Oryctolagus cuniculus: one gene and its partners. The protein of the gene in region 2 interacts with the protein of the main gene of each other region in a biochemical or structural test. Links are inferred from orthologs where the notes say so. Each region holds a gene or a part of one and is shown on either strand. Other genes may lie near its edges. The genes, in order: PPP5C, HSP90AA1, FKBP5, AHSA1, SUGT1, HIF1A and USP19.

Evidence for each region.
Region 1: the proteins of HSP90AA1 (region 2) and PPP5C form a complex in vitro, tested with the Homo sapiens proteins (4 studies listed by BioGRID, with this or other methods). The link is inferred for Oryctolagus cuniculus from reciprocal best matches to the Homo sapiens genes HSP90AA1 and PPP5C.
Region 3: the proteins of HSP90AA1 (region 2) and FKBP5 form a complex in vitro, tested with the Homo sapiens proteins (5 studies listed by BioGRID and IntAct, with this or other methods). The link is inferred for Oryctolagus cuniculus from reciprocal best matches to the Homo sapiens genes HSP90AA1 and FKBP5.
Region 4: the proteins of HSP90AA1 (region 2) and AHSA1 form a complex in vitro, tested with the Homo sapiens proteins (4 studies listed by BioGRID). The link is inferred for Oryctolagus cuniculus from reciprocal best matches to the Homo sapiens genes HSP90AA1 and AHSA1.
Region 5: the proteins of HSP90AA1 (region 2) and SUGT1 form a complex in vitro, tested with the Homo sapiens proteins (4 studies listed by BioGRID, with this or other methods). The link is inferred for Oryctolagus cuniculus from reciprocal best matches to the Homo sapiens genes HSP90AA1 and SUGT1.
Region 6: the proteins of HSP90AA1 (region 2) and HIF1A form a complex in vitro, tested with the Homo sapiens proteins (4 studies listed by BioGRID and IntAct, with this or other methods). The link is inferred for Oryctolagus cuniculus from reciprocal best matches to the Homo sapiens genes HSP90AA1 and HIF1A.
Region 7: the proteins of HSP90AA1 (region 2) and USP19 form a complex in vitro, tested with the Homo sapiens proteins (3 studies listed by BioGRID). The link is inferred for Oryctolagus cuniculus from reciprocal best matches to the Homo sapiens genes HSP90AA1 and USP19.

The regions. Positions count from the first base shown.
Region 1 is NC_091449.1:10,796,571-10,800,070, reverse strand, and holds part of PPP5C (serine/threonine-protein phosphatase 5), read left to right. Parts: intron 1-139; coding exon 140-205; intron 206-404; coding exon 405-503; intron 504-1,361; coding exon 1,362-1,467; intron 1,468-2,263; coding exon 2,264-2,406; intron 2,407-2,527; coding exon 2,528-2,615; intron 2,616-3,088; coding exon 3,089-3,129; intron 3,130-3,194; coding exon 3,195-3,373; intron 3,374-3,500. UniProt on the Homo sapiens protein: Serine/threonine-protein phosphatase that dephosphorylates a myriad of proteins involved in different signaling pathways including the kinases CSNK1E, ASK1/MAP3K5, PRKDC and RAF1, the nuclear receptors NR3C1, PPARG, ESR1 and ESR2, SMAD proteins and TAU/MAPT.
Region 2 is NC_091451.1:45,356,478-45,360,584, forward strand, and holds the start of HSP90AA1 (heat shock protein HSP 90-alpha), read right to left. Parts: upstream 2,801-4,107; 5' UTR 2,556-2,800; intron 2,092-2,555; coding exon 1,930-2,091; intron 1,840-1,929; coding exon 1,473-1,839; intron 1,282-1,472; coding exon 833-1,281; intron 745-832; coding exon 579-744; intron 448-578; coding exon 257-447; intron 161-256; coding exon 13-160; intron 1-12. UniProt on the Homo sapiens protein: Molecular chaperone that promotes the maturation, structural maintenance and proper regulation of specific target proteins involved for instance in cell cycle control and signal transduction.
Region 3 is NC_091436.1:133,898,234-133,900,726, reverse strand, and holds part of FKBP5 (peptidyl-prolyl cis-trans isomerase FKBP5), read right to left. Parts: intron 1,348-2,493; coding exon 1,108-1,347; intron 172-1,107; coding exon 64-171; 3' UTR 1-63. UniProt on the Homo sapiens protein: Immunophilin protein with PPIase and co-chaperone activities. Component of unligated steroid receptors heterocomplexes through interaction with heat-shock protein 90 (HSP90).
Region 4 is NC_091451.1:23,218,905-23,222,091, reverse strand, and holds the end of AHSA1 (activator of 90 kDa heat shock protein ATPase homolog 1), read right to left. Parts: coding exon 3,171-3,187; intron 2,294-3,170; coding exon 2,165-2,293; intron 1,419-2,164; coding exon 1,317-1,418; intron 1,044-1,316; coding exon 992-1,043; intron 881-991; coding exon 708-880; 3' UTR 501-707; downstream 1-500. UniProt on the Homo sapiens protein: Acts as a co-chaperone of HSP90AA1. Activates the ATPase activity of HSP90AA1 leading to increase in its chaperone activity.
Region 5 is NC_091440.1:60,137,903-60,141,984, forward strand, and holds the end of SUGT1 (protein SGT1 homolog), read right to left. Parts: intron 624-4,082; coding exon 522-623; 3' UTR 501-521; downstream 1-500. UniProt on the Homo sapiens protein: May play a role in ubiquitination and subsequent proteasomal degradation of target proteins.
Region 6 is NC_091451.1:8,781,650-8,785,149, forward strand, and holds part of HIF1A (hypoxia-inducible factor 1-alpha), read right to left. Parts: intron 2,593-3,500; exon of another isoform or gene 1,788-2,592; coding exon 1,567-1,787; exon of another isoform or gene 1,266-1,566; intron 957-1,265; coding exon 670-956; intron 1-669.
Region 7 is NC_091441.1:100,054,800-100,058,299, reverse strand, and holds part of USP19 (ubiquitin carboxyl-terminal hydrolase 19), read right to left. Parts: intron 3,078-3,500; coding exon 2,937-3,077; intron 2,835-2,936; coding exon 2,716-2,834; intron 2,480-2,715; coding exon 2,342-2,479; intron 2,244-2,341; coding exon 1,930-2,243; intron 1,818-1,929; coding exon 1,707-1,817; intron 1,620-1,706; coding exon 1,403-1,619; intron 1,316-1,402; coding exon 1,163-1,315; intron 1,065-1,162; coding exon 904-1,064; intron 824-903; coding exon 645-823; intron 1-644. UniProt on the Homo sapiens protein: Deubiquitinating enzyme that regulates the degradation of various proteins by removing ubiquitin moieties, thereby preventing their proteasomal degradation. Stabilizes RNF123, which promotes CDKN1B degradation and contributes to cell proliferation.

The DNA of each region.
Region 1 (3,500 bases), on a different chromosome or scaffold from region 2:
GTGCGCACCAGCAGGAAGCGGAGTCGGGGTCAGACCAGGCCTGCGGGCTGGAACGCAGATGCCCCGTCCAGCAGGCTGAGCACCGGCCCCTGGTGCTTCTGCCAGGATCCAGGAGGCTCACTGCCCGCCCCCCTTCCAGATTCTGGTGCAGGTCAAGGAAGTCCTCTCCAAGCTGAGCACGCTCGTGGAGACCACGCTGAGAGAGGTGCGCTGGGGGCGGGGCCTCTCGGACACCCCCACCCGACCCGGTCTCGTCTCTGCATTCTCGTCCCCTGACTGTCTCCCCCGACTGTCTCGCATGCGGCTTCTTGGTCTGCCCTGACCTTTGCCCCTCCCCTCACCTCTGCCCCCTCCCCACGTCTCTCTCTGGGCCCCTCCCTCTCCGGTGGCCTCTTTTCTTCCAGACAGAGAAGATTACGGTATGTGGGGACACCCATGGCCAGTTCTACGACCTCCTCAACATATTTGAGCTCAACGGTTTACCCTCAGAGACCAACCCCTACGTATCCTTGTGTGCAGAGCCGCCTCGCCCACCCCCAGCCCTGACCCCCAGCCCAGGTCGTCTCGGGGAGGGGAGCCCCTGGAGAGCAGGCTCCGCCAGGGAGGGAGCGGCCTGAGCCGTGAGCAGTGCCCAGGTGGGGGGCAGTGGCAGGCTGGCCTGGCACTCCAGGCTCCTGGCTCGGTCAGCTGTGCTGTGTGAGCCGAGCCGGTGGCCGGCCTGGTGTCTCTGAGCTGAGGTGCCGTGTGACCCGAGCCAATGGCCGGCCCGGTGTCTCTGGGCCCGATGTGCTGTGTGACCCGAGCCAGTGGCTGGCCCGGTGTCTCTGAGCTGAGGTGCCGTGTGACCCGAGCCAGTGGCCGGCTCGGTGTCTCTGGGCCCGATGTGCTGTGTGACCCGAGCCAATGGCCGGCCCGGTGTCTCTGGGCCCGCTGTGCTGTGTGACCCAAGCCAGTGGCCAGCACCTGGCAGTGCCCACGCCACATTCCATCCTGGCTTTGCCGCTCCCCAGTGGTGGGACCGTGGCTGGTTATGTTGCCTCCTGGAAACCACCCTGGTTTCCTCTGGTGAGTGCCAGGGCCGCCTTGGCGCCCTGAAGGGTTTGCAGAGAGGATTCCGGGCTGACGAGCGGTCGCTTTGTTGGCCACCAGGTTTGTGAGCTGCTGGTGGGGGCCCTGGGCCTGTCCTGAGGCAGCTGCAGCAGACTGCACACCGGGCAGGGAAGGGCCTGGCACGGCCTCCTGAGCCCCACTGAGTCCCTGCTCCTGGGGGAGAGCTCACGGGAGCTTGGGGGCCAGGCGAGGGGAGAGGACAGCCCCCCACCCGTCTGCCCCAGCCCACGGCTGTTTCCTTAGCGGGGTGGATATTCAATGGCGACTTCGTGGACCGCGGCTCCTTCTCCGTAGAAGTGATCCTCACCCTTTTCGGCTTCAAGCTCCTGTACCCAGACCACTTTCACCTACTTCGAGGTGAGCCACAGGGCAGCAGGCTCAGGTCCCTGGGGGCTGGGGGGCACTCACTCTCCCTGGCCTGATCTGTAAAGCAAAGAAAGCCATGGCAGCTGCACGTACAAGGGTCCTGGGGCAGTTTCTGTCATGTCTGTGTTCCACCTGGGTCCGTGTGAGGGCGCAGGTCCGGGCAGGGCCGCTGGAGGAGGGGACGGGTGGAGCTCTGGGCTTTGATGGGGGCTGATCAGGGCGGAGTCTGGGGCTGGCTCTCAGTGGTTCCCACCTCCAGGAGGCTGCTGGACACCGGGAAGAGCAGGGCAGGTCTGGTTCTCACGTGAATGACAGCCTGGGGCAGGGGCTGCCCTGTGAGAGGTCGGGCCAGTGGGGAGGGGCGCAGAGAAGCAGCAGAGCAGGAGGAGGGAGGGAGTGGGCTCCTCTGGTCAAGACCCTCCCTCACCCCCGGCCCCTTGGGACTGCCAGCCTGGAGGGTACACAGTGGGAGGACTCGGCCACTGCCCAGGACGGGGGTGGTTTCGTGCCTCGGCCACTGCCCCGAGGGTGGAGCTGTCAGTAGGGCAGGGCCTGGGGCCTGGGTGAGATCTCCCAGTCCAGTTGCTGCCTTCAGGAATGGTCTGAGCGCAGGGTCCACCCCTCTGGCTGCTGCGACGGGCCGCTGCGGGCGCTGGGACTGACTGGCTCGGGCTGCCTGCCACATGGGCAGTCCAGCCTGATGCCCAGGCCTGCACCTGCGGGTGCCGGGCGGGGGGAGACGGGGGACCTGCGGGCTGAGGGCTCTCCCTCTCCCGCCGACGGCCAGGCAACCACGAGACGGACAACATGAACCAGATCTACGGCTTCGAGGGCGAGGTGAAGGCCAAGTACACGGCCCAGATGTACGAGCTGTTCAGCGAGGTGTTTGAGTGGCTGCCGCTGGCCCAGTGCATCAACGGCAAAGTGCTGGTGAGGACGCGGGGATGGGCACCCGGGCAGGGGCGGGGCCGGCCCTCCCCCCCTCCCCGGGCACACGGGCAGACGGGCGGGGCCGGCCCTCTCCTCACCTGGCCACCCCCTGCCCCCCCAGATCATGCACGGGGGCCTGTTCAGTGAGGACGGCGTCACTCTGGACGACATCCGGAAGATCGAGCGGAATCGGCAGCCCCCAGACTCAGGTGAGGAGGTGGGGCCGGCGCCCCAGCAGGGCGCAGCAGGTGAGCCTCGGGGCCCCTGCTGGCCGGGGGGCTGGAGCGTCCACGGGCAGGGCGAGGCTGTGGGGAGCCCTGGGAGCCCATCTGCTGGCCCTTGGAGGGAGGCTGCAGCTCCGTGCACCTGTGCGAGTGTCACACAGGGCTGGGGGTGCAGCATTGGAGCCGACTCCCCGAGAGCAGCAGCTGCCGCCCGCGCACAGTCGGGCGAGCCCGGGCAGCTTGGGGGTGGGAGGAGCCCACGGTGTGGCTGGCGTGAGCTCGACTGGACCAGATCCTGCAGGGAAAAGTAGGTGAATGGGGTGCGGGGAGGTCGGCAGGGAGGCTGGGGCTGGGAGGGCAGGCCCGGCAGAGGAGGGCCCCGTCCACCCGCCTCGGGCCGCGCTGGGGGCTGGGCACGGCCGGCCAGGAAGCCCCTGACGCCTCCCTCCACCCCCCAGGTCCCATGTGCGACCTGCTCTGGTCGGACCCACAGCCACAGGTGAGTCTCGGGCCCTCGGGGGCGGCGGGGGTGGGGCGGCAGTCTCTGAGCCCCGTCTCCCGCAGAACGGGCGCTCGGTCAGCAAGCGAGGCGTGAGCTGCCAGTTCGGGCCTGACGTCACCAAGGCCTTCCTGGAGGAGAACCACCTGGACTACATCATCCGCAGCCACGAGGTCAAGGCCGAGGGCTACGAGGTGGCGCACGGTGGCCGCTGCGTCACCGTCTTCTCCGCCCCCAACTACTGGTGCGTTCCCGCCGGCCGCCCTGCCGGCCACAGGTTTTGTCTGGGTTCCAGTTACTTAAGGCCGAGCAGCAGAGGGGATGCCGCGTGCCCTCCCTTGCCCTTCCCCGTCTGGGCTGTGGTCTCCGCC
Region 2 (4,107 bases):
CGCGCGGGCTACCTGTGATGTAGTAGATGTGCTTCTGGTTCTCCTTCATCCTGGTGCAGTAGTCCTTGAGGGACACCATCTCGTCGCCGGAGGCCGACGTGTAGTACCTCAGCAGCTCGGAAAGCTTCTTGCGGTTCTGGGAGTCCTCGTGGATCCCCAGCTGAAACAGAGCCCGCCTGTGAGAACGGCTTCGGTTCACCACTCCCCGCGGGGCAGTGTGGACCCAGCTGGCAGCCGTCGGTGTGTCTGCACCCACCTTTATATTTTTGGAGAACTGCTCATAAAACTTCTTGTAATTCTCTTTGTCTTCTGCCAGTTCCGTGAAGAGCTCCAGACACTTTTTGACCAAGTTCTTCCTGATAACTTTCAGGATCTTGCTCTGCTGCAGCATCTCCCGGGAGATGTTCAGCGGGAGGTCCTCCGAGTCCACCACCCCTCTGATGAAATCTGAGGTAGCGGAGACCGCGCCCTCAGTCTAAGCACACACACACACACACCCCGCCCCCCCCCCCCCCAGCAGACGGACGAGACATGGTGGCATCACCAGCGACACTGGGCTCACTCCCGCTCCTACTCACTCAGGTACTCAGGGATCAGCTCCTCACAGTTGTCCATGATGAAGACTCTGCGAACGTACAACTTGATGTTGTTCTTCTTCTTCCGGTTTTCAAACAGGTCAAACGGGGCTCGTCTCGGGACGAAGAGCAGCGCTCTGAACTCCAGCTGCCCCTCAACCGAGAAGTGCTGCAACGACACACAGGCCCGGTGCCAACCACCACCACCGCGACGGCGCCGGGGCCGGGCTGCCACCCTCCGGGCGCGGGGCGCTCACCTTCACGGCCAGGTGGTCCTCCCAGTCGTTGGTCAGGCTCTTGTAGAACTCCCCGTACTCCTCGTTGGTGATGTCGTCGGGGTTCCTGGTCCAGATGGGCTTCGTCTTGTTGAGCTCCTCCTGGTCGATGTACTTCTCCTTGATCTTCTTCTTCTTCTTCTTGTCGCCGTCCTTCTTCTCCTCCTCCTCCTCGTCCGAGCCCACGTCCTCGATCTCCGGCTTGTCGTCGGGCTGCTTGTCCTCCTCCTCCTTGTCCTTGTCCTCCTTCTCCTCGGCCTCGTCGTCACTCACCTCCTTGTCGCGCTCCTTCTCCACGAACAGCGTGATGGGGTAGCCGATGAACTGCGAGTGCTTCTTCACGATCTCCTTGATGCGCCGCTCCTCCAGGTACTCCGTCTGGTCCTCCTTCAGGTGCAGCACCACCTTCGTGCCGCGCCCCATGGGCTCACCTGCGGGGAAGCCAGCGCGCCGGGTCGCACGGGGCGGCGGAACCCCGCGAGGCCAGCACGGCCCGGGCCAACGAGGCGGCGGAACCCCGCGAGGCCAGGCCGGCCCGGGCGAACGCGGCGGCGGAACCCCGCGAGGCCGGCCCCGCCAGCCCCGGCCCCCTCGCCAGCACGCCCAGCGCCCCTCCCCCTACCTGCGTCGGTCCGCACAGTGAACGAGCCCCCCGCCGAGGACTCCCAGGCGTACTGCTCGTCGTCGTTGTGCTTGGTGATCACCGTCACCTTCTCAGCCACCAGGTACGCCGAGTAGAAGCCGACCCCGAACTGGCCAATCATGGAGATGTCGGCGCCAGCCTGCAGCGCCTCCATGAAGGCCTTGGTGCCGGACTTGGCGATGGTGCCCAGGTTGTTGATCAGGTCGGCCTTGGTCATGCCGATGCCCGTGTCCACGATGGTCAGGGTTCGGTCTTGCTTGTTGGGAATCAGGTTGATGTGCAGCTCCTTGCCCGAGTCCAGCTTGCTGGGGTCGGTTAGGCTTTCATAGCGGATCTTGTCCAGAGCCTGGAAGACCCCAAGTCCTCAGCACCCAGCCGGCGCCCTCCCACCCCCGCCCCCCGAGGCCAGGGCCCCTTCCTCCCCGCCGCCACTTACATCCGACGAGTTTGAGATCAGCTCCCGCAGGAAGATCTCTTTGTTCGAGTAGAAAGTGTTGATGATGAGGGACATCAACTGGGCGATTTCCGCCTGGAAGGCGAACGTCTCCACCTCCTCCTCCTCCATCGGCTGGTCTTGGGTCTGGGTCTCCTCGGGCATCTGCCAAGGGCACGAGGCCCATCAGGCGCCGCACGGCCCCCGCCGCCCGCCCCGAGGCCGGCGCGGGCGCCTCACAAAGGGATGACCTCATTTCGAGCTGCGGCAGGCGCGGGAGCGTGCGCGCTGCGGGGCGGACGCCGCGGCCGGGCCCCGCTCGCCCCGCGCCGCCGCCGGCCGCCCTCCGCGGGCCGCGGCCCCGCCATGGCGGCCGGCACGGCACGGCCGGGGGCTGGGCGCCACCCCCCGCAGCCCCGCACCGGCGCCCCCGCCCCGCCCCCGCCCCGCGGCCTCTCCAGAACATTCGCGGCGCCCCCGGCCCGCCGGAGGCGGCTCCACAGGCCCCGGCCGCGGAGGCCGAACCGCGGCCGCTCGGGCACCGCGGCCGAGGGGGCCCCCGGCCGCCCCCGCTCCCCGCCGCCGCCCCCGCACACCCCCGGGCCTGAGACCCCCCGCAGCCCCCTCACCTTGGCTGAAGAACCGCACGGCCTCCGCGACGCAGCAGCACCGGGACGCTGGAGCAACTGGCGCGCCGCCCCCGCGCCGCCCTTATATAGAGGCGGGCCCGCCCAGCGCGCGGCGCCTTTTCGAGAAGCCTCCCGAACCTTCCGGAAGAACCCTCCCCAACCGCCACCGCGGCCACGCGCCTGCGCCTGCGCCCTGGCTGTGGCCCGCCCCTGCCCCGGGCTCGCGCACGACCCCGCGCAGGGAACGGCGGGCGCCCCCCGCCCGCCCGCGCCGCCGCGCGCCCTCGCGCCGGCCCCTGTGCGCCTGCGCGGGCTCGGCGCCTTCCGGGCTCCTAAGCCCGCCAAGCGCGGGCGCGAGCGCGGGCGCGTGCGCATGCGTCCTCGCGGCGCCGGGCGAGCCGGGGCGGGGGAGGGGGCGTCGAGCCCTGAGGTCCCTGCCCTTGTAGTGTGAAATGTGCAAAAAATGGCCCGTGGGTTATGACAGCTCGGGGCCGCTCCCAACGAGTCGCCCGCGCAAGGTGCAGCGGCCTGGGGTGCAGGCCTTGCCAGCTTTCGGTCGCCGGGCCGGGTCGTCCGCTGTGTCTGGGGACTGGGTTTTGGAGTCGTGCTGCGGGCCTGCGGCGGCGGTTACGGGTCGAGGGCTGCGTTCCGGCGCCTGGGCTTCCGCAGAGGTGCGGCCCGAGGCCGGGCGTGAGGAGGGCGAGGGCCGCGGAAGCCCCCCGGGCCGGCTCCCCGATGCCACGGCCTCCCCGTGCCCAGGTGCTGAACCACGCTCGCCCGGCCGCCGCCGCCGCCGGGGTTCCGGGAAACCCGTAGCCTTTCGCTTCCGGAGAAGCAGCGGCGTGCAGCGCCGGAGCCCCGGGGGCCGCCCCAGGCCAGGTCTAAGTGGGACTGGGGCGCTCGGAGCCCGGGGCGGGGGCGGCGGCGGCCGGGCCCTCCCCACGTGGGAGACCGCGTGGAGTCCCTGGCTCACGCTGCAGCCTGGCCATCTGGGGAGTGAACTTCCGGGTGGAAGACCTCTCTCACCCTACCTTTCAAATAAATGTTAAAAAAGAAAAAAAATAAGAGCCACATCCAGGCTGTAGGGTCCTCACTGTCAGCGTCGGGGTCTGCCCTGGAAGGACGCCGCGGCTCAGCGCGCCGGCCCTCGGAGCCTTTGTGTCCAGCTCTCCCTTTGTTGGCCCACTTCCTCCCTCGACGGGCCTGGCCCTCTGGAACAGCTGGACGCTCCCAACCTAAAGGCACCTGACCGCTCCGCTCCCTCGTGGTCTCTAGGAAAACCCGCTCTTCCAGGAGAAGGTTGGAGAGCGCTTGGGAGCGTGAGCGCAGCCCACAGCGTGCAGAGCGTCGCAAAGGTGGGAACAGACCCCTTCAGCCGCGGGCGGGTCCCGGCCCTCATGTGCGTTTCCTACAAGTGAATGGGGAGGAATGTGACTGGCCCAGGTTTGCCCAGCCTGCGGGGGAGGAGAGGAGTGGAGGGGGAGGCGCGGAGAGCAGGGGCAGGTCCCCAGCTGCCCTCCCTGGAGCCTGGTGGGTTAAACCGCCGCTTGGG
Region 3 (2,493 bases), on a different chromosome or scaffold from region 2:
TGGGTGAAAGCCCACGAGGAGGGGCCGAGTTCGGGGGGACTCTGGTCCCTCCGTGGCGTGGCGTCATACGTGGCCTGCAGGCTTCTCTTCTTCCATCGCTTGGCTTTCGGTGCGTTTTTCGCCGGGGACCCCTTGCGACGTCTTCTTGCCCATTGCTTTACTGGCCTCTTCCTGAGGAAGAAGTCAGAGGTCAAGAGGGTTAGAGCCAAAGGAAGGGAGATGGGCTCTCACCAGGCCCAAGGCCAGAGTGCACAGCGCTGACCTGACAGGGCCGCCCCGTAGGGAGGTCAGGGCTGTGCTCCCCACGGCTACCCGGGGGCGGGGGGCGTGCTCTTCTTGGGCTAGCCCGCAGCCCACCCTGGACGGGCTCGGTTCAATATCCGCCTGGAGCTCCCGACTCCAGCTTCCTGCGAATGCAGAACCTGGGAGGCAGCGGTGATGAGTCAAGGGATTGGGTCCCTGCTGCCCAGCTGGGAGACCCTGAACTGAGTTCCCAGCCCTGGCCCTTGTGGACAGCTGGGGAGTGAACTAGCAGATGGACGGGCGTGTGCACTAAGATGACAGAAATGTAAAAAGTAAGCTTATTGACGTGACTAGCCTGCCAACTGGGACCACTGCTGGGCACTTAAGTCCATGAGCCAGTGGGGGTTCCAGAGTGGAGGACGCACTCAGGGGAAGGGGCCCGAGGCCCCTGCAGACACCCGTCTCCTGTCACGCTCGCCCACCAGGGAAGAGGCATGGCAAGGCTCCTGTAACCCTTCCCCAAGTCTCAACAAGGAAGCAGTATCATTTGAGGGAAAAAAAAAAACCTGATGGGTTAATGACTTTGTAAACAGCATATGCTTTAGTGCATCTCCAGGGAAGGTGTGTCCTCTGCGTGCTGTGTGGACGGGGCAGGGCCTCCCAACCGATGTGGCGCCACCTCAGCCTCCGGCTGCAAACCAGTTTTGGGTCACCACGATGGAAGTGATCTTCCCTACTCCTGGGCCTCTCGCGCCGCTGTCTACCTGTCTCTGTCTCCTACCCTTAACCTTCCAGGGGCACCAATCGAGGGGGCGAGGCCTGTCCTGCATGTGCCCTGAGGCAGGCAGCGGGGCCTGCACGCACCTTGGCATCCTGCTCGGCAAACTTGGTGAACATGTTGGCGTAGATCCTGCGGTCCCGCTCGTTGTGCTCCTTGGCCTTGCGCTGGCAGGTGGAGATCTGCAGTCGTGCGGCCTTGTTCTGGGGGTTGACTTCCAGCACTTTCTCAAAGTCCCCCTTGGCTGACTCAAACTCATTCATGAGTAGCTGGGCCTCACCCCTCCTGTACAGGCCTTTCTCATTGGCACTGTCCAGTCCCAGGGCCTAGGAACAAAAACAAAACAAAACAAAACAAAACAAACAAACAAACAAAACAAACAAAGCTGAAGGTAATCCTTCTCATTTGTAGGAATTTCAACAAGGAATTCTGTAGTTAAACAGCGTACTGAAGCTCTCTGGCCGAGGGAATTGGGAAAAGCAATTGGAAAAATGGGCTCAAGGGACCGGCGTTTTGGTGCAGTGGGTTAAAGCCCCAGCCTGCAGTGTCAGCATCCCACATGGGCACTGGTTTGAGTCTCAGCTGCTGGACTGCCTGCTTGGGAAAGCAATGGAGGATGGCCCAAGTCTTTGGGCCCCTGCACCCACATGGGAGACTTGGAAGAAGCTCCTGGCTTCGAATCAGCTCAGCTCTGGCTATTGTGGCCATTTGGGGAATGAGCCAGTGAATGGAAGATCTGTCTCTACCTCTCTCTGTAACTTTGTTTTCCAGTAAACAAAATAAATATCTATATTAAAAAAAGAAAAAATGGGCGCAAGATAACTGTATACTACTGATCAAAAAATACTACTGTAGTTACTTTCTGCATTGAATGCAATTTTTAGAAAATTCCCAAGCATATTTGGGGAAAAAAAGAAAACGAAAATAATATGAGAGGCCAGCGCTATGGCGTAGCAGGTAAAGCTGCCGCCTGCAGTGCCGGCCTCTCATGCCACAGGTGCCAGTTTGAGTCCTGGCTGCTCCTCTTCCGATCCAGCTCCCTGCTATGGGCTGAGATAGCAGTGGAAGATGCCCAGGTCCTTGGGCCCCTGCACCCGCGTAGGAGACCTGGAAGAAGCTCCTGGCTTCAGATCGGTGCAGCTCCGGCTGTGGCAGCCATTTGGGGAGTGAACCAGAGGATGGAAGAACTCTCTCTCTCTCTCTCTGCCTCTCTGTAACTCTTTCAAATAAATAAATAAATAAATAAATCTTCAAACAAACAAAACACGAGGGAGTTCTCCTCCCAGAGGAAAGAAACAGAGTGGAAGGACTGAAACTGAAACCGCGGGATGCGGATGTGAACAGAAACCCTGAGGTGGGGACTGCGGATGGTGTGAACCCCGGGGAGAGGCTGAGCTCTGTGCAGAGCGGGGCCAGGCAGTGGCTGCCAGGGCAGGAAGTCATAGTTAAAATTCTGACCGCACATCATAAAC
Region 4 (3,187 bases), about 22 Mb from region 2:
CGTGGTAACTGTTCAGTACACAGCAGCACAGGGTAGGACTCTCTAGGTTTCCAACACATCTGGCCAGCACCTGCTGACTCTCTACTACAGAGAATCCTTGGAGAGTGGGCAGCTCAGAAAGCCACCTCCACCCGACAGTGGAGTGCCAGCACTGCTTGCTGCTAGCACCAACCGTCCCCTGCAGTCAGTGTCATCAGGCAGAACCCTTGTACCAGGCAGTCTGAGAAGGCTAGCTCAGGAACGCCTGGCCATGAGCAGCAGGCTCCCTTCAGGCCTCTAACCATCAAGGCTCACCCAGGGTGCAGAGGAGCCCTTCCAACCTCCAACTTTCTGCAAGTTAGAACCTACTAGGAAACTTGACTACAGAAGAACAGTCAGATGGAGATGGATATGGCAAGCTGCTGCTGGTGGGGGTGTGGAGCCCCCGCCCTCTGGCACACCACTCCCAGCACCTCCAGTATTCAGCAGAACAGCCAATCAGCCCAGGTTGCAGACATGTGTGTTTTTAAAATTATGTTTATTTAGCGTATGTACACAAAAAAGAAATCACCCTCTGACCCCACCCAGCAGAAAACATGCACAAACCCAAGGTGTATGTATGTGGAGGGGAAGGGCCCCAGCCCCAAGTTAGCGTTTGGGATGGTGCAATCCTGCAAGTCACAAGCCCATCAGGACAGGGCTGGACTGAAGTGTAGGGCAGGCCGGAGCTAGAACAAGCGTGCGCCATAGCCAAAGGTCTGTTTGATGCCCTCGAAGTAGTACCGCTGCCAGCCCTGCCGCGTCCGCTCTTCCTCGGGAGCAGGGATGCCACGGCCTTCCATGCATAACTCTGTCTCTCCGTTCTTGTCAACAAAAGTCAAGGTGATGGTGGCAAAGTGCCCTGGGAAAAGGCAGAGGGGAGGGAGGTTTCAAATCCAGGGTTTCCACCTGGGCTTACGACTAAGAGGAGAAGCAAAGGTTCTGGGGTATGGCAGTAAAGAAGTGTGCTTACCCTCTGGCCAAGATTTAAACCTCCACTTCATCACGATATGTTTCTCAGGGACCTAAAATGATCAGAGAGCTCAGCCTATAGCGTAGACTACAATGTACCCAGTCCTAGTTAGGATTAGCCATCTGCCTCTCACACTGACTCTATCCTGTGCAATTGTATTACTTGCAGAGAATTCAAATCACAGCATTCTTTTGAAAACCTAAACAAAACATAGTTTTATTAACCAGAGATTAAAGCCTTAAATTTTACCTACAGAGCTGAGAAAATTCACTCATCTGACCAAAGGCAGCTCCAAAACCTGGGGCTGGGGCCAGCAGGTACTCACCAGATCGGTGAATTCCCCAGAGACGTTGCCGTCTACCATGTGAAACTTCCCACCTTTGTCTGCGTCTAACACTGCAGGAGCGTGGGTGAAGGCCTGGACCAGCTGCAGGAAAGCAGGCGGGGAGAAGATGCACGGCTCTCAGCGGGACCCAGGGACAAGCGCCGCGTGCCTCCCCGCACGTCTCGTCTCCCCCCATCCTCTTCCACTACACTCCAGGCTTGGACTCCAGGGATCCTTTCTGAACCCACGATGCCATTACTTCCGACCCACTCACTTTCCTTTTTTTTTTTTAATTTTTTTTTTTTATTTTTTGACAGGCAGAGTGGACAGTGAGAGAGAGAGAGACAGAGAGAAAGGTCTTCCTTTGCCGATGGTTCACCCTCCAATGGCCGCCGCACTGCGCTGATCTGATGGCAGGAGCCAGGTGCTTCTCCTGGTCTCCCATGGGGTGCAGGGCCCAAGCACTTGGGGCATCCTCCACTGCACTCCCTGGCCACAGCAGAGAGCTGGCCTGGAAGAGGGGCAACCGGGACAGAATCCGGCGCCCCGACCGGGACTAGAACCCGGTGTGCCGGCGCCGCAAGGTGGAGGATTAGCCTAGTGAGCCACGGCGCCGGCTCCCACTCACTTTCCTAACAACAATTCAGTGAGTCCCACTTATTGACCCAACACTAGCACTGAAGAGAAAACCGGAGGAGCAGATCTAGTCTAAGAGGGTTAACAAAGCTGTTTTTCCTTTGCCTCTGCTTGTATCAGGAAGGCCTCCGGGCTCCAGACATCAGTACCTCTGCACGCCGAGGACCTGGCACACAGGCGGCCCGGGGCCTGAGGGACAAGCGCACGCTTACCTCTTGGGTGGTAAACACTCTATAGAGCTCCTCTGGTGATGTCAGGAAGGTTTCTCTAAGGGTGATCTTACAAGTGGGGATTTTGACACCAACAGGTTTGGCCTGGGTTTTTGCAGGAGCAGACTTAGCCTGTGAAAGTGGCAGTGAAAATGGTCAGTGGAGGGCAACGGTGACCTTCAGTCACCATGGCCCTGGGGGCAGCTCTACCATTCACTTCCACAAAGCCATTCACCTCTAGGGATAAGAGGGTTGGAGGGAATCTGTGTGTGTTTCAGTTATGAAGAGAACTTTTCCAGAAACATCCTCAATTCTCACAGAAAACAACCACTCTAGGAGGAAGACTCTGGTGCTCATTAAAAAACCCATCAGCCGAAGGTCAAGTCCAATCACCAGGCATTCTGGAGCACTCAGTGTGATTCTCAAACAGAATCTCTATGGCTCTGTAGCTGGAAGCAGTTTTCTCCCTACATCCTGGACATCCTTTAGAGCTGGCAGAAGGGCAACTGGGCTCCAAACCAAGCGCTGAGCCCGAACCACTGACTCCATCTCGCTGAAACACTGGCTCACCTGCAAATGCAGTGCCGCCAACCAGCTCTTGGTGAGTGATGTCAGTGATCTAACCCTTGGTATCCTGATGCCAAACGTCAGCACTCCAGTGAGGAGAGCTGCGTCTATGGTGAACACCATTCTGCGCTCACAACCTCTTAACTGGTGCTGAATGCAATCAAGAGTCACCGTGTGAAGTCCCTGAGAGCTTCCATTTGCTCTGGAGGTTGCAATATAGGAATAAAAGCCACATTTTGCTATAAATGAATAAAAGCCATATTAAAGATGGACATATGCCTACATATTGTAGACTCTATAAAGTGCCAGTGGCAGACCATAGGCTGTTCTGGCTTGGAGATCAGGGTCACAGAAAGAGCTGAGAAGTGGAATTAAAGAGGAGGCAGCTTTGCACTGCCTTTCGCGGACAGCCCGCCAGCCCATCACGTGCAAGCCAACTTACCTTGCGCTCCTCGGGTT
Region 5 (4,082 bases), on a different chromosome or scaffold from region 2:
AATAAACGAGAATTCCTTGTGATAAATAATTTCTCAAGGTTCTCATTAAAAACTGAAAGACAAAGGTAAGTAAACCAAACTTCTTCATAGAAAAATTATATTTACAACTTCATTTAAAAGCAAACACAATATAACACTGAAGTTGAAAATTTTATGCTCATCCAAAGTTGCCTGGTCTAATAAATTACAGAATACTGCATCAAAAATAAGGCAATAACCCGAGATATGCCATTGAAGATTTCTCCACTCCCACAACTAAATAGAACTATCTATCTAGTAGCAAATGATACTTCATTCAGTTCAGCATATCTAAAATCCTTAAGGACATAAGTGATAAAAATTTGATCTTTCTTCATTAGACTCTTAGAACACTTGAAGGGAAATAAATTCTAATGCACAAAGAGGTAAAGAGGTATAATCTTTCAAAAAAATACTCAGTGTTCAAAATTTAAGAATGCAGTATCAACACACAATGGGCATTAGGTGAATGTATGCAATACAGTGGTGTCAAGTTAATTTATTTAGTACTTTTTCCATTCCATATCATCAGGAGGATTGATTTCAACTTTTCTTTTACCTACATCAGACCAGTTGGTACTCAAAACCGTACCACCGGACTCCATCTGTAATAAAAGGGAAAAAAAAAAAGATATTAACTCCAGGACCATAATATCAAAAATGATCAAGAGCATTTTCCTAAAAATGTTCTAAGTATACAGACTCAAATACAGGTTCATTATAAATATATCAACAGCTCAATATAAACTCTAATAGATCACACACACACTATACATAGCTCAATAGAAACTAAAAACATTATTTTCATTTAATCTCGTCCAGAGAGAATTTAAGTTTCACAAAATTTGAAAAGGAAACTATTAGTAGTCAAGTAGGAGCATCAAGTTCACATACACTGTCATATAAGGCTCCATCTCTCCCTCTGTTGATTAGCACAGAGGTATATGTGGAAAAACTTTCAAATTAAAATAAAACTGCCCCCCACCCTGCAAATAATGATACAATTCTTTTTGCTGTAAGAGAGTAATCACCAGATAAATAAACTCTATGCTAGCTGGTTGGAGCTTCAAAGGGACTCAACTTCATGTTTCCTCTGTGCAAAACTCATTCAAGTTTACTTGAAAATGTTTTCAAAGTCAAAAGTTAGACACACGCATGTACACAGTATCTCAATGAAGAACTGATTATTTACCATTTATTGAATGTACCACAACCTAGCACAATTACAAATATTATAGGGTACCACATAATAACATTTAGGTCAATTAATCAAATTTTTGTTTCAATAACGAGAGAGGCTTATTTAGTTCACAGTTTCTGGAGACTGAAAGTCCAAAGAGCAAGATACCAACTCTATTGAGAGCTATGTGGCATCATGAGGTGAATGTGTAAAGGAAGGCGACAAGGCTAGATAGGAAGGAGGAGGGACAGACTTGCTCTTTTATAAAATCCTCTCCTGAGAACTAATGAGGGTCTCACAAGAACTACCATCAATTCCTTCTGGGGTAACTGCTCCCAATGACTTAATAATAACTTCCTATTAGGCCCTTACCTCTTAAAGGTCCTATCATCGCACCTGGAATCAAGAATGAACCCTTGGCAGGGACAAAACATATCTAAACCGTATCAACAGTGGTTTCATACAACAACAACGAAGCTGCAAAATTCCCATAACAGTAATGCCACAGCTGTTGGCATTGCCACTTCATAGCACATGGAATTATTCATGTTTATGATGCTGGTGTAAACTAACCTGCGGTGTTACTGATCATAAGAAGTATAGGATATACAATTATATATAGCACATAATACCTCATAATAAATGACTGTTATTATCTGTTTATTATAACCAGTTGTGTTCATGACAAATGTATGAAGTTATATACCCTGTTACACTGGAAATTCAATGAACCCCTATGTCCTATGTGCTCTGTGATACTCCCCTACTCATTTTCCTCTGCATGAGATCTCCTCTCCAGCCCATTTCTTTTCTGTATTTTTAGTTATCCTCTCAACATGAAATGTCACCATCTCTCCGCAGTCTTCTTTGACCCTAATCAAGACTAATCTTCTACTCTTCTGTATGAACCTAATTACTATTAACATAACACCTATTACTATGCAGTTGTAATTTAAGGGTTTGCCTTCTTATATCTGCCTCCCACCCTTGCCTGCAAATAAATCTGAGAGCTCCTCAGAGTAAGGGAATATATTTTACTAATATAGTCACTTCTTGGCATCTGTAGAGAACCAGTTCCAAGACCACTGCCACCCCTCTAACCCTGTGGATACTCAAGTTCCAAAATCTGCAGATGTTCAAGTTCCTTATATAAAATGGAGTATTAGCAAATATCTCACACACAGACTCCCAAATACTTTAAATTATCTCTAGATTAGTTATAATACCAAATGCAATGTCAATGTTATATAAATAGATGTTGTATATTGTTTGGGAAATAATGAAAGGAAAAAATTTTTAGTACAGACTGAGTTTCATTTTTTCTCTTTTTCCTAGTTTCAATCTCTGGTTGGCTGAATCCATAGAAGTGGAACTTGTAGATTAAGAGGGCTGAATATACTCATATTCTAGTTCAAAGCACAGAGGCCTGGCACATGGTAGGCTTCAAATGAATGACTGAATTAAACATGGTAAGCTTGCGTGATGCACTGAACCTAACAGAACTTTTCAGTTACAAAACTGAAAGAAGTAGATGCAATTTATAACCTGAACATACTCACTAATGACTAATTCTCCTTTTTCTCCTGACAGACTCCAGATCAATTTAGCATTTCTCTCAAGTTATATTGTTCTAAATTGTCTTGTCCCAATTACAGAGGACAGAGTCTACTGTATTTTTTCTGTTTTCCCACAAGAACAGAAGTCGTCCCTGGAATGCTCCAGGTCAGTGTTGTCACACAGAGGAGATGTTTGTTAGTGGTATACCTGGCTCACTTGCTCTCTGTATACAGTGGATACATACTCTGCAATGCTCCAGGTCAGTGTTGTCACACAGATGAGATGGTGTGTTAGGGGTATACCTGGCTCACTTGCTCTCTATATACAGTGGACATATACTCTGCAATGCTCTTTTGTCTGACACACTGGTATTTTTGTACAGCACACTACAGTCCACCCAGTCAGTAGTGAGAATGACTTTCCTTTCTGAGAAGACCAAATAGATATTTTTTTTTCCTATTCTTTCCACTAGCAAACTAAAAACCCAGAAAACAAAGGAAGTTGATAAATTTGCCAGAGATCGTGGGACACAAAAAGTGACATGGAGTTAAACCCCTGGATTTTCCTTTGCCCTCATATATTCTAGCCTTGGAGTTGAAGAAGCTGGAAACACCAAGGTGAGTAAACCAGTAAACAAAAAAGCCTCAATAAAGGCCTGCTCTTTGTGGCCAAAAGAACGAAAAGGAGAGTCTAGGAAGACAGAAAACTTGTAGACAATGAATTACTACAGCTAAGCACCTCACTAAGCCCCACCCAACCAGCAAGGGCTGAGCAGGGAGCTTAGACTGTCCCAGTTTCAGTGCCAATGGAAGCAAAGTTGGATGCCTGAACTTTTATGTCCTCCAGGCAGTAATGACATAGTGCCTTGCGTTCCCCAACCAACACATTATCAGACAAGGCCAACTAAAATGGGTAAGGTTTAAATAAGATCCAGATTTCTTGAACAGAATATGAAAATATCCAGGATTCAACTGAAAAATTACTTGTCACTACTGGAAAACGGCAAGAATCAGAAAGATCTCAAACTGGAAGGTGGAGGGCACAAAGAATAATCAATAGATGCCAATATCAAGATGACAGAGATCTTGGGGCAGGCGCTGTGGTGCAGCAGGTTAAAGACCTGGCCCGGGGCACCAGCATCCCATGTGTGTGCTGGTTCGAGTCCTGGTTGCTCCTCTTCGATCCAGCTCTCTGCTGTGGCCTGGGAAAGCAGTACAAGATGGCCCAAGTCCTTGGGCCCCTGCGCTTGTGTTGGGGACCTAGAAGAGGCTCTTGGCTCCTGGCTTCTAATTGGCTCAGCTCTGGCTGTTGCAGGCATCTGGGGAGT
Region 6 (3,500 bases), about 37 Mb from region 2:
AGGATGCTGGCTTCGGATCGGCGCAGCATGCCGGCTGCAACGCACCGGCTGTAGTGGCCGCTTGGGGGTGAACAAAGGGAAAAAGGAAGACCTTTCTCTCTGTCTCTCTCTCACTAACTCTGCCTGTCAAAAAAAGAAAAAAAAAGACAATTTTTATTGTGCTTGTAGGACTGTTAATATCAACACAGAGCTACAATAAAAAACACCAATTATTAAGTTCTGTGTAAGACTTTGTATTTTCATGTTACACTTATTCAGTTTTTTGAAACAGGGCTATATTGGGAAGAGAGTTAGAAGGTCTTTTCCCACTTAAACCTTGAAAATAAGTTTTTTGCCTTTAGGTATATGCTGGTGTTATCTTGAGCACATGGATAAATTGTTTCTATGTTTATATCTATAAGACAAAAAAGTCTCAAATTTAGAATCCAGAGAGAATAAACCCAAGTTTTACCTTCTGAGTAATATCAAACCAACTCCTTCCCATGTTCCTATCTTTGTGCTGAAAACACATGCGATGGTGTGTGTGTTGTGTGTGTGTGTGTCTCTCTCTCTCTCCAGCACACACACACAGTGACATGTGGTCCAAATTAAAATCTGAACCAGATATACAAATACATACCTGAATGCTACAATCTGAAAGTTGCCCTGCTGTTATATTACGATACCTACCTCAGGTGAACTCTGTCTGGTGCTTCCATCAGAAGGACTTGCTGGCTGATCTTGAATCTGGGGCATGGTAAAAGAAAGTTCCAGTGATTCTGGATTTGGTTCCAATTTTAATGCAACTTCTTGATTGAGTGCAGGGTCAGCACTACTTCGAAGTGGCTTTGGAGATTCAGAGGCAGGTAATGGAGACATTGCCAAATTTATATCCTGCAATTTTTCATTGGATGAAGGGAACATGACATCATTATATAATGGAACTTCCTCAAGTTGTTGGTCATCAGTTTCTGAGTCTGTGGGGAAAAGAATTAGTCAATCTAAAGCATTAAGAATTTTAACATACATAGCAATGTACTCCTTTTTACAAAAGGTTTATCTAATCCACTCAAATTTTCTTTAATCAAGAAGTTTACAGATGCTATGTTATAAATCTTGAGATATTTTTACAGTCCACTATTACAACTCATTTTAATCTACATGGCAATAAAAGACTTGTAATTCCAACCTTTATTTACACTAAAATTTAACCTAGCTTGAAATGATAGTATATTGTAAAATATAGTAAAATTATGGTATAACTATTTGTTCATCCTTTAATGCAGCTACACCTATTGTGGAGACAATCTGAAAGCAGGATACAGAAACAGCAGAGTAGCTGGGGAAAACTGAAGTGGGATGAAGGCATTTTGAAGCACAAAACTCAACAATCCCTAAGAAAAAGCAAGAATGCTAAAAAAATTATAAGGACAAAATTATTTAAATACTTTCAAAATGACTATGAAAAACAAGATTTATAATCATGTCCAAATGATTACCAACAGAAAGCATCAGAGCCAAGTTCACTTGAAATGGGCCTTGCCACAACATATATACTTCAGGAGATTAACTAACTAAAATACCCACCATTGCTGCCAAAATCTAAAGATATGATTGTGTCTCCAGCAGCTGGGGCCAGCAGAGTTAAAGCATCAGGCTCCTTCTTCAGTTTGTCAAAGAGACTACTTGTATCTGCTGATTCCACTTTGGTGAACAGCTGAGTCATTTTCATATCTGAAGATTCAACTGGTTTGAGGACACATTCTGTTTGTTGAAGGGAGAAAATCAAGTCGTGCTGAATAATACCACTGTCAAGAGAGAGAGATTAGTAATTCTTAAATGAGTACTTGACACAACGAGGGGAGGGGGACTGTGAAATGATGTTGTCATTTTAAGATTCCCTGAGATGCATGACCCCTCATGCATCTGGAATTTTAAAATGCCAATATGAAATGAAGATGCAACTATTCATAGTGAGATAATTCAACTACGTGATTAAATTCAGCCAAAAAAACCTCTGGCTGTCCTTTGAGAAGAGCGCTGGTGACAGGGAAATTGGCAGTTAAGCACAAGACAGACACAAAGAGATCAGAATTTCTCTGCCGATCCATATGATGAAATCAGCACAAAAGAAGTCTTTGTCACTAACAGGAGGCATGAGCTAAGGACGGTCCCAGAATATCCAGAAACGATGAAGATCTTTCTAAGTTGTGTGCTGTATTTTCTTTAGTGGAAGGAAAACGATACCAGTGACGTACAGGACAGGGTTTAAGAAGGAAGGTGAGCAACAGCTCCATCTTTGTGTTTAACGTAATTAACACAGTAAATGTTCACTATGTGAAATGAATGGAGAATTAAAATACCCAAGTTAAATACCTAAACCTTGCCCTCAAGAAGTTGATAACCCACTGTGAAAGTAGATAAGCAAATAATAAAAAGACACTGTGTTCACTGGTCAAATGGTGAAGGCTTGTCCAGAAAAGCTAACAAGCAGAAACCTGAGCTCAAGCAGCCATTGTTAGGCACGCCAAGGTTGGAGGAGGAGAAAGCTGTTCCAAAGTGGGCGATTCTTAACAATGCACTGTCACACTCTTTGGCACTCATATTAAAATACTGAAGGATGGTCTCCAAAGTAGCAAAAATAAATGACTAAAATCTTAGTAACAGAGGTGACCACAGATTTTAGTGGGAGGGATAAATCTAGGAAAGTATGATAATAACAAATGATGTAGGCAAGGATTTAATGTTGAGGATAATAAAGGGACTTCAAATGTTGTAAAGAAAACGAGCAACTGATGGGGCTGGCACTGTGGGGTAGTAGGCTAAACCTCTGTCTGCAGAGCTGGAATCCTTTATGGGTTTCAGTTTGAGTCCTGGCTCCCACACTTCTGATCTAACTCCCTGCTAATGTGCCTGGGAGGGCAGTAGAAGACGGCCCAAGTACCTAGGCTCCTACACCTATGTGGAAGACCTATAGGAGGCTCCTGGCTTCATATTGGCCCAGCTCTGGTCATTGTGGCCATCTGGGGAGTGAACCAGCAGATGGAGGACCTCTCTCTCTCTGCTCTCCCTCTCTCTGCTTCTCCTTTGTGTAACTCTGACTTGCAAATAAATAAATGTTTAAAAAACAGCAGAATGGCTATATTACTCTATAATCTGCCTCTCAAATAAATAAACCTTTAAAAAAATAAGCATTAAAAAAATTACACTAGGAAGCTTAGCCTGGTAGCAATATGGAAGGTGGACTAGAATATGGTAGTAATGGAGAAGACAGACAGTGCAGGAGCCTACTGAAATAGGTAAGTGAAAGATTAATTTAAGATGTTCATTATATTCACAAACCAATGAGCTAAGAGTTCATGAAGAAACAAAAGCCATGTGTTATATCATATAACCTTTTATAGTAATCTCACACAGAATTTCATTTAGGATTCTTTTGAGGAAAGTTTTACCATCTCATGTACAAATATGAAATCAGAGAAACAAAGACAGCAGGGCTATTCCAAGGCCAGTATTCTTAC
Region 7 (3,500 bases), on a different chromosome or scaffold from region 2:
CTGGCTTCCTTCACCCAGGTCCAGACACTTACCACTGTCTTCTGCCACGATTTCTCTGAGCCTGACAAGGCTCAAAGGAAGCAGAAGGGGCAGAAAGGAGGTGGCCAAAAAGAGACATGTGGCTATGTCCACCAACCAGGCCTTTGGTACACTATGTCAGAAAGAGTGGTAGAAGACCCTAAAGACTAGCAGGAATAGATGCTCACCTCAGCGAGTGTGACAGCCACTCAGGGCTGTGGCCAACCCAGCCAGGCTGTCCTGAGTATGGCCCGGAACACGGGGCTGATCGCAAGTGGGGGTCTGTGGACTGGCCTGCGGGCCACATGTGAAGGGAAGCTAGGAGACTGTCAGGTATAGCTGTTCACAGCATAGTGCCTGGTGAGGCTCTCAACAGTTGTCTGTTTGACCTTTGCCCTGTGGGCATCTATGTACACACCAGCGGCAACAGGATGGTTTACGTGTCCCTTTGTGAGCGTCCCCAGGGCACGAGGGTGCCTCTGAGTGATGTAAAGGAACCTGTCTGTAACTCATGAATCCCGACACTTACAGGGCCTGTGGCTGCAGCACACCGCTGTGTCCCCCAGCCCTGCCCTCTGAGCTGTGAGTTGGCCCCTACCGGTCTATGAAGCATCCCCATGTCTCACCTGGCTGGCAGCAGCCTCAGCTGCAGGGCCTAGGTCTGGGTGGTGCTCAGAATGCCCTGCCCTGGGGGGCCTCTCCACAGGAGAGTTCCGTCGGCGGTAGAAGAGTACGTAAGCATAACGCGTCACCACCTGGCTCTCATCTACTGTCGTCACCGTGCTGTCATCAAATAAGCGCCAGCCTGTAGCAGGGTGGGAAGAGTGTGAACACAGCCTGTACCACCAGCCCACCACCTATCCTGCTGGCTGTGTGTGCCCTCACCCACGTCACTGCGCTGGCTGCTACGATCGTTGGGCAGGCGTGCGCAGGCAGTGTAGTGGCCACCGATCATGCCTCCGTAGTGGTTGATGACAGCATACAGGTCATAGTTGGGCAGCTGCTCCTCTTTCTGACCAATGCAGAACTTGCTCAGGTCCAGGTTCCTATGGTCCCAGTCAGGGAGGGGTGAGACAATTAGGTGACCGGGATGCCCACCCTGGCCCCAGTGCCCTGCCCTCAGGCACCAGGGTGCGCTGCTCACCGAACAGGGAACTCCACCAAGTCGTTGATCTTGTCACGCCAGATGAAACTGCGAAAGGAGAAGCGCTTGAGCTGCACGATGAGAACGTTGGGCAGGCGCCACAGCAGCAGCTGCTTGGAGGCCTCGCGGTGCTGTTTACACTGTGGGCAGTACCTGGTGGGAGACAGAGGTGGGGTCAAGACCGGCAAGGCTCCCCTCCACCCTGCCCCACCACCCACCTGCCCGCTTCCCTGCTCTCACCAGGCCTCCTCGGGGGCTAGCACCTCAGGCCTCGTAAAGAGGTTGAGGCACTGGTCCAGGGTGAAGTGGCCAGCCCGGGCAGCCTCGCCAGCAGAGCCTGGATCCTCTGCACATTCCAGCTCCTTGGAGGCTACCAAGACAAACTCCGGCAGGCGCTCATTGTTCCTCCAAACCAGAGCCAGGCTGCAGTCATCGCCCAGCTCCAGCGGGGTGTCTCCTGGAGATGGGCAGACAGAGAGGTCATGCAAGTGTGGAGGGCAGCCAGCCAAACCCAGCCCACGGCTCCCACCCACAGCCTCGACACCTTTGTCCTCCAGCCGCTGCTCTCGGTTGGAAGCATCGATTTTGTAGATGAAAAACTGGGGTGTGTGGGCATTCATGGCTTCACTTGGGTGCTGGTACCCAGGCACAGCAGCTGGGAGAAAACACGATCATCAGAGCTCCTTTGCCTTCCAGAGGTTAAACAAGCTGCACCCAACCTCTCCTATCTCCAGTCCCAGTTCCCAGAGCCTTTCTCCAGATCTTACCTTCAGGCCGGGACACCCTTTCACCAGCAGGCAAAGGGCCACCCTCAATGGGCCCACTAGCCAGAACCTCAGGAGAAACTCCACTGGTGCTAGGCACAGGGCCCCGATCCGGGGCTGCCCATGCCCGGGGAACCCCTGTGTCCCCCTCAGCCACAGGGTTCACCAACTGGAGCTCAGGCGGCTGAATGGGATCCCTCTCGTTGTCCCCAGCCTCTAGGGAGCTAGTGGAGAGCAGCGTAGTGCACCCAGGACCCTGGGACTCCAAGGCCATGCGGCCAGGCTGGAAGGGAGGCTGGAACACACTCACAGAGTACCTGGCAACAGAGAGCAAGGCAAGTAAGAATGCTGACCAGCCCAACTGGCACCACTGCCCTCTCTCTCTCCCACCCTAGTCTAACCAATGGGCACTTACCGGGCATAGCCCTCCAACAGCTGAGCAAGACGGGCGTAAGTGAGCCGTGAGGCAGGTACACTGACCAGGAAAGGATAGCCTATGTTCTCAGGGCGACAGAGGCCTTTGTGGTCAGGCCAGTGGTTTTTCTGGCAAAGCCTGGAGGGAAGGGGAGGGGGAAGGTAAGCACAGGGCTTCGGCCCCACCTGCTACAACTCTGTATTAAAAACTAGTCTTAGGCCCTGGGAACTGGGTCCACCAGCCTTGCCTCCCCTAGGGGCCTGATGGACAGAATGGCAGGTAGAAGTCTTAAAACCTGTGCCTCTGTGTAGAGGGGAAGGGCAGGGTGGCAAGGAAGGGTGGACGGAAGGAGGGGAGAGAATGGGGGTCCTCACTGGTTGCAGTAGCCCACACGGTAGCACCGGGTACAGCGCTTCAGCTTCTCCTCCTCTGACTGCTGCTTCCGCTGGCAGGCAGCACACTTGGAGATGGGGATGCTGGGCACCTGGGGGCGCTAGGGTGGGTCGACTGGCTCAGCAAGGCCAGGGAGGAGTGCCCTCCCTCCAGCCTGCCCCCCGCCACCGGGCCCTGTACCATCTGGTTGGCCTTCACTTACCTGTTGTACCTCTAGCACCACTACCCTTTCCTTAGCCAACTCTGGAGACAGCAGCTCAAAGCAGAGGAGCACATCGGATGGGGACACAGTGTCCAGTGAGTGGGAAGGCAGGAACACACGATGGAAGCGATTCTTAATCACCTGGGGACAGAGAACACACAGATCCCATGTGCAGTAAGACCTCTCCCCAGTCCTGCCCCAGAGCTTGGCTCCTACCTTGGGTCTATGGAGGCCCACCTCTGCTGGTACCAGTCTCAGTGCCCAATGGTACACGGAGCCTGGTACATCAGAGCCTGAAGACCAGCCCAAGGCAGGTGGCAACCATTCTAGCTCTCTTACTGAAGGCCTCCATGCTGCTTCAAGGAGCAAGGCCCAGCTAAGACTACAACATATTAGCACAGAGGAGCCACATTCAAGGAGTCTCCTCCATGGGGCCAGTGCTGTGGCATAGAACCACATTCAAGGAGTATCCTCCATGGGGCTGGGGCTGTGACGCAGCAGATCAAACTGCTACCTGCAGTGCTGGCATCCCATATGGGCGCTGGTTCGAGTCCCAGTTGCTCT